Linked DNA regions of Mus musculus: regions 1, 2 and 4 are each reported to be linked to region 3. The links are microRNA targets in miRTarBase. Many come from high-throughput screens and were not tested one by one. Region 3 holds a microRNA gene; each other region holds the end of a gene's coding sequence. Distances are between the middles of the regions.
The links. The annotated mature microRNA mmu-miR-1b-5p reads UACAUACUUCUUUACAUUCCA and lies in region 3 at 1,435-1,455, shown strand. An mRNA with a match to its seed (bases 2 to 7 or 8) in the 3' UTR can be bound and repressed. Matches are read on the target gene's strand: a 7mer-m8 pairs with bases 2 to 8, a 7mer-A1 pairs with bases 2 to 7 and ends in A, and an 8mer does both.

Region 1: the mRNA of Tdrd1 is a reported target of mmu-miR-1b-5p. Seed matches in the 3' UTR shown: 7mer-A1 at 3,269-3,275.
Region 2: miRTarBase lists Iws1 as a target of mmu-miR-1b-5p. The part of its 3' UTR that is shown has no 7-base or 8-base seed match.
Region 4: miRTarBase lists Ccdc169 as a target of mmu-miR-1b-5p. Seed matches in the 3' UTR shown: 7mer-A1 at 2,710-2,716, 7mer-A1 at 2,706-2,712, 7mer-A1 at 2,694-2,700, 7mer-A1 at 2,690-2,696, 7mer-A1 at 2,686-2,692, 7mer-A1 at 2,682-2,688 and 4 more.

What each region holds. Positions count from the first base shown.
Region 1 is chr19:56,865,892-56,870,059 of GRCm38, forward strand. It overlaps Tdrd1 (tudor domain containing 1), which reads left to right. Exons shown (of 26, transcript NM_001002238.2): 23 at 1-111; 24 at 534-580; 25 at 659-751; 26 at 2,812-4,121. The coding sequence ends at 751. Among named protein-coding and RNA genes, the nearest start is that of Vwa2, 6.4 kb to the right of the region's middle.
Region 2 is chr18:32,096,709-32,100,876 of GRCm38, reverse strand. Iws1 (IWS1, SUPT6 interacting protein) reads right to left here. Exons shown (of 14, transcript NM_173441.3): 14 at 1-3,727. The coding sequence ends at 3,596. Among named protein-coding and RNA genes, the nearest start is that of Iws1, 31 kb to the right of the region's middle.
Region 3 is chr18:10,784,052-10,788,219 of GRCm38, forward strand. Mir1b (microRNA 1b) reads left to right here and starts at 1,395; the gene lies at 1,395-1,516. The region is part of intron 12 of Mib1 (mindbomb E3 ubiquitin protein ligase 1); the gene reads left to right. It overlaps Mir133a-1hg (a long non-coding RNA gene), which reads right to left. Exons shown (of 3, transcript XR_877177.3): 1 at 3,379-4,168; 2 at 1,655-1,830. It overlaps Mir1a-2 (microRNA 1a-2), which reads right to left and starts at 1,501; the gene lies at 1,430-1,501.
Region 4 is chr3:55,170,947-55,175,114 of GRCm38, reverse strand. Ccdc169 (coiled-coil domain containing 169) reads right to left here. Exons shown (of 8, transcript NM_177203.3): 8 at 2,179-3,850. The coding sequence ends at 3,751. Among named protein-coding and RNA genes, the nearest start is that of Sohlh2, 9.0 kb to the left of the region's middle.

The DNA of each region.
Region 1 (4,168 bases), not on the chromosome of region 3:
TGTCAGTTGAAAAATGTTCTGAGAACGGAATGATCAATATAGCTGAGAATCTGGTGATGTGTGGCCTGGCAGAAAACCTCACTTCTAAAAGGAAAAGTGCTTCCACTAAAGGTACTTTCTTAAGCGTAATACACAGCAGAGGTCGTTTTGATTGTCTCTCTCCTCACGGCTTCAGTCCCCACCCTCTCCTCCTCCTCTGCACTCCTGTGGCAATTCAGCCTGACCTGACCCAAGGTCAGGGACACTGGTGCTGTGGGAGTCGAGACTGAGAGCTTTGGAATGGTTGCAACTGTGCCTGTGCCTTTCTTCGGGTTCTCTTTGATCTGAGCAACAGGAGAAGTCTTAGAAGACCTAAGACATCATAGAAGACCTAATCTTTAGATGGAGTGCTGGTCTGAGAGTCCAGGACACACACAGCACATGACTGGGTGGGTGATGTCCTGGGGAGTTGACACTTAGACCCCGACACACAGGTGCACGCGGGCTCCCTCACTGCCATGACCTAGGCCTGTTTTGTTTGTTTTTGCTTCTAGAGATACCACACAGCAGAGACTGCTGTTGCACAGAGTTACAGAAACAGGTAGGTGCAGCTCCTACATGAAGCCACACGCTGCCTCACATTGAGAGAGAAATCATACTGTCTCCTTTGCATCCACAGATTGAGAAACACGAACAGATTCTCCTCTTCCTCTTAAACAATCCAACCAACCAAAGTAAATTCACAGAGATGAAAAAGCTGCTGAGAAGCTAAGTAAGTTTCCCGTTTCCCCTTCTGTGATGCACCCGACTCCAGGTGCTTATGTGAAGCCGTTTCTTACTGTTTGATTTGAAATTGCTCACATCGTCAGTATGTGAAGAGACTTGTAAAGATGGTCATGAGGTGAAGCTTAGCCTCACACTGTGTCCAGACTTGACGTCTTCTCAGGCCTCACTGACTCTGTCTGCTGCAGTAGCTTTAGTCCTGAGTCTGGGCAAGGATAGAAGATCGAGGAAGGTAGGCACTCTGTCACCTGTGACACTGGAGCAGGCTGTGCTGTGCCACTGTTCAGAGAGAGTGTGCTGGGCCCATCCCAGTAGTTCCCAACCGTGTCTTACTGTCAGGATCCCCGCAAGAACAGGGGCCATCAGAAAGTAGTCATGGCCAGCAGCCAACTGGAACTTGTGGACAAAATGAGATTACCCCACTTATTCACCCCTGTGTGTGTGCTGGAGGGGTGGGGTTGGTGCAGTGTCAGCCCAGAGCTGGCTCTTCCATGCTCCTGCAGCAGCTCCTGGGATTCCCTGGGCTGTCGCTCCTCTGGAACAGCAGTGCTGACTGAGTGCGCACCTCTGCTGAGTTTGTCCCTAAGGAAGCTAGCACCTAAGCTGACACCCTGAGCAACAGTTCCTTCCCATTGTCGTGCCTTAGCATCTCTATACTTGATTTCTGTTTTGTGTGCTTGAGCTTAAGATCTTGAATTTAATGAAGATTTTAACTAGACCGACTGAAGAGCCTGCAATGACACAGGCTTCTGGGATTAGCCCAGCTAATTAATCATTTGTACTTTGGTCTATTCATCTGTGTAGTGAACTCTCCTCAGAGAGATACTGAGAGTGCTCATATAATTTAAGATAAGGCTGCCATTTTCAATTGTTTCTAGAAAATTAGAAAGCCTAGAACGGTAAATGTTTGAATTTAAAACATAACACACGCTAGTTTCCCCCACACAGCACTGTGTACGGGGCTGGGCCTCACATTGCACAGTCCTCACAGCATCCTTGAAGCAGAAGTGCAGGGCAAGGTGTGTGCTGTCACAATCCCAGCACTGGGAAGTGGAGACTGTGGCTCAGCAACTGCTGGCCTAACTTGCTCGTCAGTTCCAGGCCATTGAGAGACTCATGTTGCATAGTAAAACGGGAGGTGGGAACAATCTGAGGAAGAATGGCACACACCTGTGGGCAGAGCTGAGTGCACCTTGCTCCCTATCCATATACTACACACATTTGTAGCTCCCTGCCCCCACCCCCACATGTAGTAGAATGACCTTATTGTCTGATGAGGAAGCAGAGGCTCACGGTGTCCATGCAGGCTCTTGGTGTGCACCCCACACCTCACCCCCTCTTGCAGGCTGGAGCTTACAGCTGACAGGGGAGGAGCTGTCCCAGCTTCTGGGTATGCCCTGGGCTACAGCCTCTTTCTCGGTTAGTCTGGACCTGCAGGGCATGGAATGAGGAGATAACATAGGTACTCAGGCATTCTCTTCTCATTTGGGAGGAAAATAAAACTGGATATTTATTCTCACCTTACTTAATCTACTTCCAGATATATGTGTTCCAAATGTTAAGGCTTTTATAACTACTGTGTTGTGTGGTTTTCGTTAGTAGTTATCAGCCAGGTATTAGTCAGCCTGCAGTGCTGTCTTGGGGATTTGAGGCGTGTGAGATGTGGAGTTAAGATAGCTTGGTCTAATAAGACCCTGTCTAAAACCATATGTACATAACAAAGGTGTTGCTGCATTATAAATTTTGTAAATAGAGGTGCTAACATTGTTCTTAAAGGGATGACTAGATAAGTTAAAATGAAACTTGTTTTTATATTTGGAAAGAGCTACAATAGCTGCATTTTATATTTGTAGAGAATATAATTCACTCTGATTAATGCCAGTATCGATAAAAATTAAGCACTGTTATGATGCTGTTTAATTTTTCTCTGCCACGTATAATCTGAATGTGTGTAATTTAGTTTATCTGGCTTGCCTGTACTTAGAACTGAAGTTAAGGGCCATAGTGATTCTGTGTAAACCATAATGATGGCTGGTTTTTCTCTTTCAGAAACATCATCTCTTGGAAATAAACACTGGGAAGAAAGAGACAGCAAACGCCAGACCTGAGAAAGAATTGTGTGTGTGTTTTGTTCACTAGAATTGCTGCTTCCTCCTCTTTCCTTAGTGACTTTTAGCCTCTCCGCTGTGCTTGCTTACTTTGTTCTGTCGGGTTTGCTGCCCTCTCCCCGATTCTTTCCACGAAATACATGAATCTTACAGAAGAGATTCATGTATGAGCTAGGCGCGGTGGTGCACACCTGTAATCCCAGCCATGAGCAGCATGAGGCAAGACCTCAGGCTCAAAGCCAGCAAGGGCCTAGTTAGATGCTTTCTCATCACAAACAAAACCAAAAGGACATCAAGATTCAAAATGTATGAGACGACTAGGAAAGACTATGAGGTACCTTCTGCTAAGAGTGTGTGTGTGTGTGTGTGTGTGTGTGTGTGTATGTGTGTGTGTGTGTGTATGTATTTGCTCTACTGAGTATAGAAGCTCGAGCCTCTCATGTACGAGGCAAGCTCTCCTCTTCCTCTGAGCTACAGTCCCAGCTCTAGCATCTCTTTGTCTTGACAGTGCTGAAGAGGAGGAGGCTAGGTGTTGCATGGATAGGTGTGGTCGGTAGCTGGGTCTTAGCACTGTTGGTACGTTCCAGGCCTTTCTTTGCCAGTGGGACGCTCCCTGTCATCTGCTGCCTCGTCCCGATGCGCTCTCTTTGGTTCCTTGCTTCTGGGTGGCATGTTTTCCTGGGTAACTTGTGGCTCACTCCAAGGATGTGCACTGCTTCTCTCAGCTGTGCTTGGATGGCTTGGCTTTTCATCTTGGATCATAGTGTGTCCACAAGCTCCAGCCTTGACACTAGGAGGACTCCAGAGGGCCTCCTGGGATTTTTTTTCCCACTAGTCTGTAGCCATTCAGACTTATGCTCTAGAAATAATTCACTGTCTTCTCAAACACAAATTCAGTCATCAATTTAAAAATGGAGAGCACATTTGTCATACCTCATGATCAGAGATTGTCCTAACCGTAGCCATGTGCAGCAGAGTGTGCCTTCCTGACAGCCCAGTAGTCTCTCATACTTGTCCCACAGTTTCAGTGCCATGTGGCCCTGTGGTAACCTAATACGACATCATCAACTCAACGTTGATAAGTAAAACATTGACGTGGGTGGGTTTGTTTTGTTTTCCTGTTACTGGCAGTGTGAGTCAGCTCCTCTGTTGAGTCGACCTTCTCATGTAAAAAGTTGCTTGGATGTTGATGTGTCTCAGACAGTTAAGTTTGTCCTGATTCAGGCAATAAAGCCACTTGTTTTCACCTTGCCCTTCTGTGCTTACTGCTGGCCTTTTGGGGACCCCCTTGTCCATCC
Region 2 (4,168 bases), 21 Mb from region 3:
GACGTCCACATGCAGCTGTGGGGCAGGCACGTACATATTCATACACACTTTCCCCTTCATTTCAAGGAATCCCAACAACCAAAACAATACTGGAGTGAATAAATCATATTACTTGACTTCAAATTTTACTATAAAGTTCCTGAAGTAAAAACAGGATAATGAGGATAAAACAAAACAAAATGAACTAAAAGTCTGGAGCAAAATATACAAGAAAACCCTCATACTGTCAGATACGTTTTGATAAGGGATCCAAGAGCAGTAAGGGTCAGTCTTTCAACAAAGATGTACAGAAATAAAAGTAAACTTTCTACAACATAAAATTATCTCAAATGGATCAGACTTAACAGTAGGGCCAAAGTTACAAAAGTCACTTAAAAAAGCACAAGGCAAAGCATTATCACCTATACATAGAAACAGGCTGGTGAGATAGCTCAAATGGTCAAAATCCTTGCCACTAAAGTCTTGCAACCTGTCTCATCCTTAGAATCCAAGTAAATAAAGGTCGAAGGCAAGAACTCCATAAAATTGTGATTTTCCATATGCATACCATGGTTCCCCTCCCCCCATAAATTAAATTCTAGGTTCCTAGAATAGTCTAAATCAGAGGCAGAAAGCAGAATGAACTTGTCAAGAGCTGGTGGAAGGAGCTAAGGTGTTTGTTGTTTGAGGCAGGATCTATGCAAGTCTTAACTGGTCTGGAACTCTCTATAAAGACTAGGATGACTTTGAACTCTGAAATTGTCCTGCTTCTGTCTGCTTAGTGCTGGGATTAAAAACGTGCACTACTGTGCCCAGTACAGCTAAAGTTTGTAAGATGAAGGTGGCTCATACCACTGTGAACCCAGTCAATGCACCTAAGCTGTATGGTTAAAAGTGGTAAAGATACAAATCTTTTGCCAAAATTAAAGCATTTTACAAACAAACCAAAAAACAACCCAAACCAAAAAGTGACTACCCAGCATTCCATACAAGAGGTCAAAGTTAATGTGGCCAATCTTGAGACGAACTGTCAAGTAGCCCAGGCTGGCTTTGTTCTTGCCATGTAGCCAGGCCAGGTTGGCAAGGTGACAGGCCAGATATTTGTGGTACTGGGGATGGAACCCAGACTTAGTGCGTGCTAGGCAAGCACTCTACCAACAGAGCTGTATGATCTAGCCCCTAAAAACCATGGGTTGTTTCTATTCTCAGACAGGGTTTCTCTGTGTAGCTCTTGCTGACCTAAAATGCAATCAAAGCAGGATGGCCTCAAACTCAAGAGATCCACCTGCCTCTGCTTCCCGAATGCAGGCATTAAAGATGTGCACTGCCCCGCCACAAAACATGTTTTTAAGAGAAATATGCTTAGATATGGAGCTTGAGAACAAAGGTTCTTGATAAACTATACTCACATGCTCTGCAAAAGAAATCTTGGATATAGAATATAAAATGTGGCACACTGAAAAATATTGAAGGGTAAATGGGAGCTAATTTTAGTGTTCTAGAAACTATAGTAAATGGAAACTATGAAGGCAATGAATGGGTCAAGCTTGGGGACCCCCCCCCCCCAATCCACACAGCAAAGGTAATTTATAAAGAAATTAGCATCTTTCCCTTCAAGTAGTGCAGAACCATCTCCTTCAATCAAGGGCTTATCACCTGCTGGTTATATTTACTCCCATTAACATGGTGTTACGTGAAGCTCATCCCAAGACACCAAAATAACTCTTAAAAACTTGCTTTACATGTCAGAACTGTTTTGAATTCATTAGATGCTTTTATTGTTTTTAGTTAATGAAATTAAACAAAGCCAGAGGTAGTTTTTGCCACCACCTAGTCTGTAACTGTTGGCTCTGTAGGTTTCTGCTTCACACTCCATTTGCTCTTGCATGCTGAGTGTACTTTAATGAGGCTTTATGAGGCTCTTTTCTTTTTTCTCTCTCTCTTTTTAAAAGACAGGGTTTCTCTGTGTAGCCCTGGCTGTCCTGGAACTCACTCTGTAGGCCAGGCTGGTCATGAACTCAGAGGTCAGCCTTCTTCTCCCTCCCAAATGCTGAGATTAAAGGTGTGTGTCACCACACCAGGCTTGAGAGGTTCTTATGGAGTGTTCTAGTCCATGAAGTCCACATTCCTTCAATTGTCCAAAGGCCATTGTGGCCAATAATAATCTATTTTTTTAAATCAAGGCTCCAGTTTGTACTAGAAGAGGACTTAAGTAATGAATGAGTTACTGATAAAACTTTCTTGATCTATAGAAATCTCTCATGATTAAGAATTCTCAAAACCAAGTAAGAAACTATAAATAGTTTCTCCTTTTTCTATTTGTCCAATTGCTATATGTAACTAATTTTCAATTATATCTGTATTTTCTTAACTTTTTCTCCCCACAGCTTAACTCTTCAGATTTAAACAAACAAAGCATCTCTAACAAGAGAAATAAAAAGTATGCTTGTTGTATTTCCAACTCTACTGAGATACCATCTTTATTTGAACAGTCTTTGAGTAACTCAAAGTTATTGTTGGAAGAGCTCCCAAAATTCCTGCCTCTGCCTCCAAAGTGCTGAGATTATAGGCATATACAGTGGTATACAACACAATTCTGATACCAAATGCTCGGTGTTAGTGTAAGAATTGACAGTTCTAGGGATCAGATTTCCTCCACAAGACTGTCCCAACTTCAGACATAGACTGCAAGTGATATCTTTAGACCATGAAAATTCCAGGGTAGCTATAAACTTCCAGGCAAGTTCCCAAGAATTTCTTGGTTTAAAAACCTGCTGAATGACTCATAGAACTTGGAAAAGCACTATGTCTTTCAATAAAAGGTTATACTTATAACTGATCTTATTAGAAAAGATACAAATTAAGCCAACCAGGTCAATGAAGATTCAGGAGTAGTATGGAGGGTGGTGCAGAGCTTCTGTGCCTTTGTTCTCTTTGCACATCAACATAGTTGCAGTATCCAGAGCAGTTAAGAGTCTTGCCATGTAATCCAGGCTAGCCTCAAACTCATGACCCTCTTATTTCAACATCAGTCTCCAAAATGCTGGGATTATAGGTGTGCAAGGCACCTGACTTGTCCAGAGTTCTTTTCTTTACTATAGCTTCAATACAAAGGTATGGCTGGTTAATCAAACAGGCAATACGACTAGGTCAAGCATATTTCTGCTGACCAGTCTTAGAGCGAACTTAGGGCCCTACGATGTGCCAAATCAAGAGTATAACAAAGATAGTTCAAGAATTGTAAAGGTTTGAGATATTCCTTGTCAGGAGCCAGGAACAAAGGCCAGACAAATTCCTCATATCATACTTACACACTGAAACGGACTGGCTTTTGATCTCACAGAGAATAGTGTCTAAGACAATGATGAGACAACCCCCCAAAACCATAATGAAATTTTATTACGTACAGTTGATAGAAGCAGGAGTAGTAAGTACTCTTCTGTACAAAGCAGACAACTGGTCTTAAATACAACGGAGAGAAATGTTAGTCCTACAACAACAGATGATACAAATCGAACCATTTAGAGACACACTAAGACATTTAAAATTATCTTCTTTCTCCATAGTCCACTGTGCATTTCTTTCTTTTAGAGATGGGGACACGTCCCAGGCAAGATCACAATGGCATTTTATTGCCCTCGATGCTGATTTTCACTGCATGTGCAGATCTGCTTTTTTTCCTGATATCTGTGAACTTTCTCATCTGTTTATCCAGTCGACTGATACCTTTCTTGGAGGATGCCTGAAACTAAGATTGGGGAAAATTGAAGAACAAATTATTGAAATATGTAAATCTAGCAGTGAGAAGAGCCTGAAACTTAACAATAACCAGAACATGCTTTGGTGACAAGAACAAAGTGTTAGGAGAAACCTACTGAACTCTCAGTGATGATTAACTGGTTACTGTCCGTGCTTTACTTTTAATTTTGCCACAATCCATAGAAACTTCCCAAATGACAGGAGGAAGAAATACAGAGACTATACTCTTCCCAATCCCATCAATGACATCTGACAGGCTAGTTGCCTGACATACAATTTCAAACAATTCTGGTATTAAAAAACAAACACCAAAGACAAGTTATTAGAGAAAGACTTTAAACATAACCAACACAGGCAAACTCTGAGGTGCTAAAGTTCTAGACTCAGCCTTGGGGTGAGTGTCTCTGCTCTGCTTCAGTGGTACCAAGAA
Region 3 (4,168 bases):
TTATTTTTTTAAACTAATATGGTAGAAGGACAACACAATCTCAGACAGTATGCAAATAGTTTAATATTCTATTCTACATCTGTTGTTAATTATTGTGCTTCTGGTGAAATTAATGTAATTTTAATTCTTTGCATCATTTTTTCCAAATAGTGAAACAGGTATTTGGTTGCTTAAACTTAAGTGCTGAAGATAGCACTTGCCTGGTTCTATTTTAGTAGGTCCCTGGCAGCCAGTCAGCAAGTGCAGTTGCTCAAGTGTGCTTTTGGATCATTGAGTTTCGTGTACTGGCCATATCAGGACAAGGAGAGGCCATGGGAAAAAATAGTCCAGCATCTGATAGTGTCAGCATCTGTTATCCCTGTCAGGGTGACAGTTGAAGTGTTTGAGTAATAGCAGTGTCAGCAGATGCCCAGAGTTTAACATGTACTCACTTCAAAAGGGACAGCTGATCTAAGTGCTGGATGTGACATTTCAAGTGATTCAAAACACTCCTAGACAAAAGCTGAACTTGGAAGCAACAAAATCAGTTTTCAGTTTTATTTTATAAATGAATAGCTAATATTCTCTAAGGATTGTAACAAATTATTAGTTGTGAAAATGTTTCTTAAAGAATTATGAAAACCTTTCAGACCTGTGGAATAACTAATGTAGCTGTTCATAACTCATTGTGAGAAAAACAATGTCATTTGATATAAGCAAGGACAATACAGACTCAGGTTTTTGACAGTTTGTTGCCAATATATCCTGTTTACATTTTAGTTGTGGCCTAGGGTTTTGCCATTTTTATCATTCTTTTTCATGCTGTAAGTATTAACTGCACTTAAAGTACAGATTGGGTTAAGAACTGACAAGCTGGAAAAGGACAAAAGCCAGTTTTCATGTGTGCAGTATAATTTTACTTAAAAGATAGTCTTTAAACATTATAGTTTCAATAGCTGTCAGAAAAGAAAATAATGAAACCAAAATTTTTGGCTTACGAGATCCTCTGATTTTAATAGGTTATACATTTTGCCACATGTGAAGAATAGCTATTATATGAGTAAAATCAGCTTTTTGTTGCTTTATTTTTCTTATTAGATTTGTTGGTCCTGATTTGATAGATGTGAGACACTAAAATATCCAATTGTGAAGACAGATAATGGTTGATCCTGTGTCTCACTGTTTTGCGCTAGCAATACTATTTCCTCTGTAGTAGTCACATTTTAATCACGTGAGTATTCAGTGTAGAGTGTAGTATGATTTAATGTGAAAATTAAAATCCACTTCCACGGGACTTATCTCTTCAGTACAGTATAAGGGATGTTAGTTTTCCCAGTGAATGGCTGGTCCTTTTGGAATGGGGCTGTTAGTATTACAGGTGAATTCAGAGTATGGAAGTCATCCTCCTGGAAAGTTTCCTTTAGCTTCTTCTTGGCGGACATTACCTACCCAAAATACATACTTCTTTACATTCCATAGCACTGAATGTTCATATGGGTACATAAAGAAGTATGTGCTCTGAGTAGGCACTCCTGCGCCGGCCGATAGCTGTGAAAACATGAAGCAGCCCACCTCACCCAGCTGTTAGTAGGACATTTGGATTACTTTTCTGGAAGAGTAATGGATCCAGTGCGGAGATTAGCTTATCAGAGACTGAATTTTACAACAGATTTACCTGATCCCATCAATGCCACTTCTGCTTGTGGTTCTTTTAAGCACTGCCATGCTTTGCCCTGCTGCTTCTTTTCCAAGAGATGCAGTCAGCAGAGTCTTAAGTGTATTCAGAAATGTTAGCACGCTTGCTGCTCTCTCCGTCGTGCCTCCCTCTTCTTTATAATTTGCTTCTAGATCCTTTACAGACAGATGATAATCAATTTAGTCTAAATTGTTTTTATAAACCAGATACTTCTACTTAAAACTTATTGGGAGAAACAAGTTACAGTTAGCACAGGCTTTGAAATTGGATCATTTCATTGTGTGAGTGAATTAATGTTTTTAAATGGAAATTTATTTTCAAGGTAACAGATTACAAATCATTTAGCCAAGTTTTTGTTCTGTTTCTGTTTGCATTGAATGCAAATTCAAATAGTTACGTGCTTGGTTTGTATGAGATTACTTTTTAAAAATGGTTTTTAATATAATGGAAAAGTACTAAAATAACTTTTCCAAAGTCTCCATAAAAGAGGAGAAGCACTTTAGTCTGTGAATCTCTGGGTTTTACCTTGAATATTTAGCACAAGAAAAAAAAAATAATTTGGGAGTGGCCTATAGTCACTAAGACATTTTGAAGGTTAATTCAAAAGGAGACATTGAGAAGCTTTGAGATTTGGTAAAGAATAGAAAAGGGGGTGCTGGGAGGGAAGTGGGGGAATAGGATTTCTGCAGTCCATGAAGAAAGCTAGTAAGCTGCCAACGCGGGCCTCAGTCAGCAGTGCCGCTGAGACCTGCACCGTGCAGCAGCATGCGGATGTCTGTGGCCTGAGTAGTAAGCAAGGGGAGACATTTCATAACCCAAATCTTGAAGTAGCCTTTAGAAGCTATTGTGCTCTGGAGGCAGGGATGCAGGTTTACTAGAGGAGCGAGACACAATTGAAACAACTGTTTAATTGAAAACAATAAAGACCCTGTCTGTAGTGATGTAATGTTAGTGGTAGATTGTATATTTTTGAAGTTATCTGGCATGCTGTTTGAACAATGGCATTTTTAAAACTAAATTATTAATTTGAGCTTTGAAATTAGCCTATGCCCAGATATAAATTAATTTAACAATGAGAATATATATCAGTCAATATTAGATAAGCATGCAGAAAGTCAGAAGCGTCCTTCCAAGTTGGTTCTTGTGCTTGATTTACCTGTGAGCTTAGTGTCCTGCCCCACTTACAGGGAAGAGATGTAGTGACCTACAGTAACATTGCAGTCACCACATCATGACCGTTCTTTCACACTGCTGCTGTTTCAGCACTGGTTTTATAAGCTGGGTGAGGTAAGCACCCAGTGTAAGTGAACACAGAACCTTACCTTGTAAGATACATTTGAAAGACAAGTTAAATATACAAAAACAACGTAATTTTACCTTTTTCCCTTGCTCTTCTCATAGACATAGAAAGACACATATACACAGATGTGCATGCAGGCATGCAATCTCTCTCTCTCTCTCTCAAATTGAATCAACATTAGTCATATAATTTAGAATGTAATATATCAATTATATCGATATGTAGAGAAAGTTAAGTAATGGGAAGGTTGCTACAGTGGCAAAGAGAATGTACCTAGGGTTTTTGTTAGATGAAATGATTTACAAGAGGGGAAAAGTTGCAGAGGATGTTAATTTTGTAATCTAAGATTTAAAAAAACAAACAAACAAACAAAAAACCACTGCAAGCAAAACCCTAAACACACCTCACATTCTCCCAATTAGCTGCAAGCATTCACCCAGTTTCCTGTGCCCACCAGACCATACTGGGTTCTTCTGGTGCCTCAGGAAATATTCTGCATCTTTCTTGCTTTGGGATTCTTTTGGAGGAGCAGGAGTTTGAGTTTCCAGGGTTAGTGGTAGATCTGGAGTGAAGCTACCTTGTTATATCCAGAGGTCAAGTCTGCAAGCGAGGTCAGGACTCCCACATAGTCACCACAGAAGCCAACCTATGTTCTTCCCGACTCAGTGGCCACAGCCTAGGCTGCTCGAGCTTTATAGGCAGCTAAGCATTTGAAACATGCACTCCCAGGCAAACAGACTCTCTTGTGCCTCTCTCTTCCCTGACCATATTTAGTCAGCCATAGCAAAAAATAGTCTCTCAGCTGTCGATTGTCGATCTAAAAGCTGAGGAGGATTCTATCTTGCTTTCTGCCTATTGATTGTTCTTCCTGTGGTCCCAACACTGCTTTGCCATTTGTCCTGCTATTTTTTTTTTAAGTACTGCTAAATAGAGCCGTGTCTCATGTTTCCACTTACATTTCCCAGATTCTCCCCGAGCTTGTGCTGAGACTAGGAAAACCTCACGCGGCTGTCACTATACTTAGAAGCCCTGAAGAGAAAAAGGGCGGCGGGGGTGGGGTGAGGTGGGGTGGGGCAACAAATTTGCCCTGGCTGGTAGCAAGACAATCTTCAGGCAGATCTGCGGGATGTAAAAATCCCTCTGCTACCAAAATACTTCATAATCCAACTCTTTTTTGATGGTTAAAATGTTTT
Region 4 (4,168 bases), not on the chromosome of region 3:
ATTTCTTTTTTCACACAATCTTCTAGTTCACATTTGAAGAAGGTGCTGGGGGCTAAGCCATCCTTCAGGCAATCAGAACTTCCATGGCTCATTCTCTAAACACACGTGGATGTCAAAAGGTACCTTTAGACCCCTTTTTTAAATCACTGTAATACAGTTTTATTTTATTTATTTGGCTAATATAATTCCATCTATATAGTAGCAGGGGGCTGGAGAAAAGGCTCAGTCCGGAAAGTTCTTGCCTGCCTGAGGACCTGAGCCTGATCCCCAGCATCGACATTAAATGCTTGCAAGGATAAAGCCCAATAAAATTATCAACAGCAATGTAATGCATGACATTCATAAAATGATATAGTGGACAGAAAATGAGATCAGAAATCAGGGGCGGATGTGGGGGGGGAAATCAGTCACAGAAGCAGAGGATATAAATAGAAAAGAAGCACATTAAACCCGTTGTTGTGCTTATAATATATCCAAAACCAGCAAAGAAGATCAGGGTGGGGAGGAGGCACAACCAAGAATGATGATCTTGTGTGCTTTTGTAGGCCAGGCCTAGAAATGACATAGATGTCTTATTGGTCTGGCATGGTGGTACATGTCTTTGGTGCCAGCACTTCAGAAGCTAAGGCAGGAGGATGGCAAGTTTCTGGCTAGGAGTTCTAGCTTACTTTTCTTCTGCTATGATAGAACACTAACAAATTTAGGAGAGGGGAGGGTTTATTTAGTTTACATTCCCATGTCAGAGGCTACCATTGAGAGAAGCCGGGGCTAGAGCCTGAAGTCGAGACCATGAAGAGATGTGGCTCTCTGGCTTGCTCAGCAACATTCCTTACACAGCCCAGGACTGCCTAGGTTTGGCAATGACCAATGGTGGACTAGGCCCACATCTACAAACTGGCTATCCAGAAAGTACCCTGCAGACACTCCCAACAAGATAATCTGATAGAGACTGTTCAACCAGGGGTTCCCTCTTCCTAGATGTGTCCAATTTTAAGCTACATAACATGACACAGTCTCAAGACAAAGACAAAAACAAACAAACATACAACGACCACCAGAGAGAAGGCACAAAAGGGGATGTCTGCTTGATATAGGATCTCATACAATTCTGTACCTGTGGTGTGCTCCTGGACAGTGTTTCTAATACACACAACAGCTCAGTGTTTATGACCTATGCACTGGTAAACAAAGTTCTTCCTGTCCATGAAACATGAGCCTCGGGTGCATTCTTCCGAGAAAGGAGACTGTTCATTGAGCATAAAGCAATCTGGACCACAGTCCACTAGTTTGATCACCAAATACTTTTGTTTTTCTTCAGAACTTGCACAGAGTCAAAGCCCTGTCTCTCCCCTTTATCCAGGTGCAACTCAAAGAAATATAATGGTTGAAGAAACAAAATGGATTGTTAATACTTTGTGTTTTAATATTCTTTCTTTGCTTTAAAAATAGTTTTAATATCAAGTGAATGTGTTCTTCAGTTCTGGCCTTGCAAGAGTGGCAGAGCCAAATTTAGCCATTCACTGTGACTAAATAGAAGGGTAGATAAAAATAGATAAAAGAGTTGTTTGCAGGTGTAAGAGGGGATCCTTGAGAAGGCAGCAAGTCCAGTTGCCTCCTTAGCTCCTCCCCTATACACATCACAGACTTCAGAGAAGGAAGTACCATGGTAACAGGTCCGTTTCCCACATTAGAGGAGACAGAAGCTGGTGGAAGAGGCTGATGGTGAACACAAAGGCCTGTCCAAAAACAGAACCCCAAGTCTGCACAGGATACCACGAGCCCCTACAGGACACCAAGGCATAAATTGCAAAATGGTGAAGCAGAGTGCCTACAGGTCTCCAGGCATCCAGGTCTGGGCCAAGCAGAGCTATGTGTCCTTTGTGTCATTCACGGTAACTTCACTGGGGCCTCAGGCTAGCTATATCTTAACAACCTCACTCTTGGCAGGTTTACTCACTCCAATGGAAGTCTGAGGCGTTAAATAGAACTGTAAGCAATTTAAATGCTCATAGGAATATTGCAATCTGCAATATGATATTATTGATACTCAACATCCAATAAAAACTGTATAGATATATGAAGCAGAATGGGAGACCCAAAGCCAGGAGAAAAATCAGTCTTTAGAAACAAACTTGGAAGAGAAATAAAGAAAGAGAAAATATGTACATTAAAGCCCTATCATGTCAATATTCCATTTTATTAAAATATTTTATTCTTCGATAATTTCACACATGTATACAATGTATTTATTTCATACACACACCAATTCCAAGATCCCATAACCCCTTCCCAACAGCATATCTTTAAATACGTGTGTATACATACACACATATACATCCATATATATGTTTATTCACACACACATCTATTCCATTGAAGCCAGTTAGTGCTGTCCATAAATACATAGCCGTGGGGCCATCTACTGGATCATTCTGAACCTACCAGGGACCACACCCTTAAAAGGACGGACTCTCCCTCTCCTAGCAGACCTTGCTGTCACCAGCTTCTCAGCTAGGGGTGAGGCCCATGTGTCCCTCTGCCACTGGAGCTGGAATGTTGGCTAGCTTGATCTTGAGCAGGTTTTGTGCAGGCAACCATAGCTACTGCAAGTTCATGAGTGCAGCATTATGGTTCTATTATCTACACATACATGTACATATTATGCATAATACATACATACATACATACATACATACATACACACATACATACATACACATAAACCCCTCAGGTGTAAAAGGCACATTACATATAAAAGGAAACAAATGACTTTTTTCATCAGATATAGGTTAAAACACCACTTGCTTAACATGCACAAGAAATTTAAATTCCAATAATTTCTCTCATTTAAATGGGTAAGTTATATGAATCTTCCTGATCTCTACTACAATTAGAAAAAACATTCGAGTCACAAAACACCCTAAACATGAATAAAATTCAATAAAGTTCATAGGTCCTAAAAACAATTTCTTATTCTCCCTCTATTTCCTTCTAGTCTCCAGTATTCCAAACTCCTGCAAAGTTTGGTCCAAAAACTAGACCATTTTTGTGAATTAGTAAATGTCACAAAATGACTTTAATGCCACATACACAGTGGCAGACCCCTGTGACTGAATTTCTAGAAATTTTATAAATTATACAGTTTAGCACAGCCATTTTTCTAGATGTAGGAAATAAACATGAGGTGATAGGATAACCCTAAATCCTCAAGGTTACTGGCGGGGGGGGGGGGGATGGGGGCAAGAACAATGCAGTGCATGGCTGAAGTTATTGATAATATTTTCCTGAAACTTTCATATGCATGTGATCTGGGAATATGTTGAAACCTTGATTTTAGAAAGTTGAACTGAGCATGATGCAATTTAAAATAACAAAAAGGTGGAGATATTATATATAATATATAAAACAATATATAGTTCTAACTAATGGTCAATTTAGAAACCAAATACAACATAAAAGTGCAATCAGAGAATATCAGAAACACTCTACTGAGAGTGCCAGAAGGATGTCAACCTTCGGGTCCCTTCTAAGGTATTGTAAGAACTATAAGCACATGTACTGGATATTTAGGGTTGCTGGAGACCCATGACTTTTATGCAGGCAGAAGAATCAACTTTTGAAAGAGTGAGAGAAGCCGCTCTCCCTCATCTATTTCCTCCCCTGAGGAATGTATTGAACATTAGCTTCCTAAACTGAAGACACTGAATGACGAAAAAGATGGAAAAAATAGAAGTCTGCCCAGCTCTGGAGTCACGGGTTGAGTTTTGGAAGATGGTTTGATCTTGGAACCTTTTTAACTGGTCCTTTCTTGGCATTTGTTGTCTTCTGATTCATGGAATTGTGTCTTCCACTGAAATAAAATAAGCATCGATCATAATTTTTCTGTCACTGCTGTCTGCAATATAAACAGTATCCGCCATATATGAAGAACTATGGTTGACCCATCTCCTCCAGTCTGGAGTAAGGAAACCTTCATCCGCACATGTTCTGCTTACAGCACAGTCTCAGGCAACCATGTCACTGTCTCACTACAGCTTTGGGGCAACCACTGCAAAGGCAGGTACTCAACAGAGGAGTCTCCAGAAGCAGGCGTCGGGTAGCCAATGTGGAAGCCCGTGTCTGAAGAGGGGAAGGGGATCAAGGGCTACTTACCCTGAATTAAAGTCAA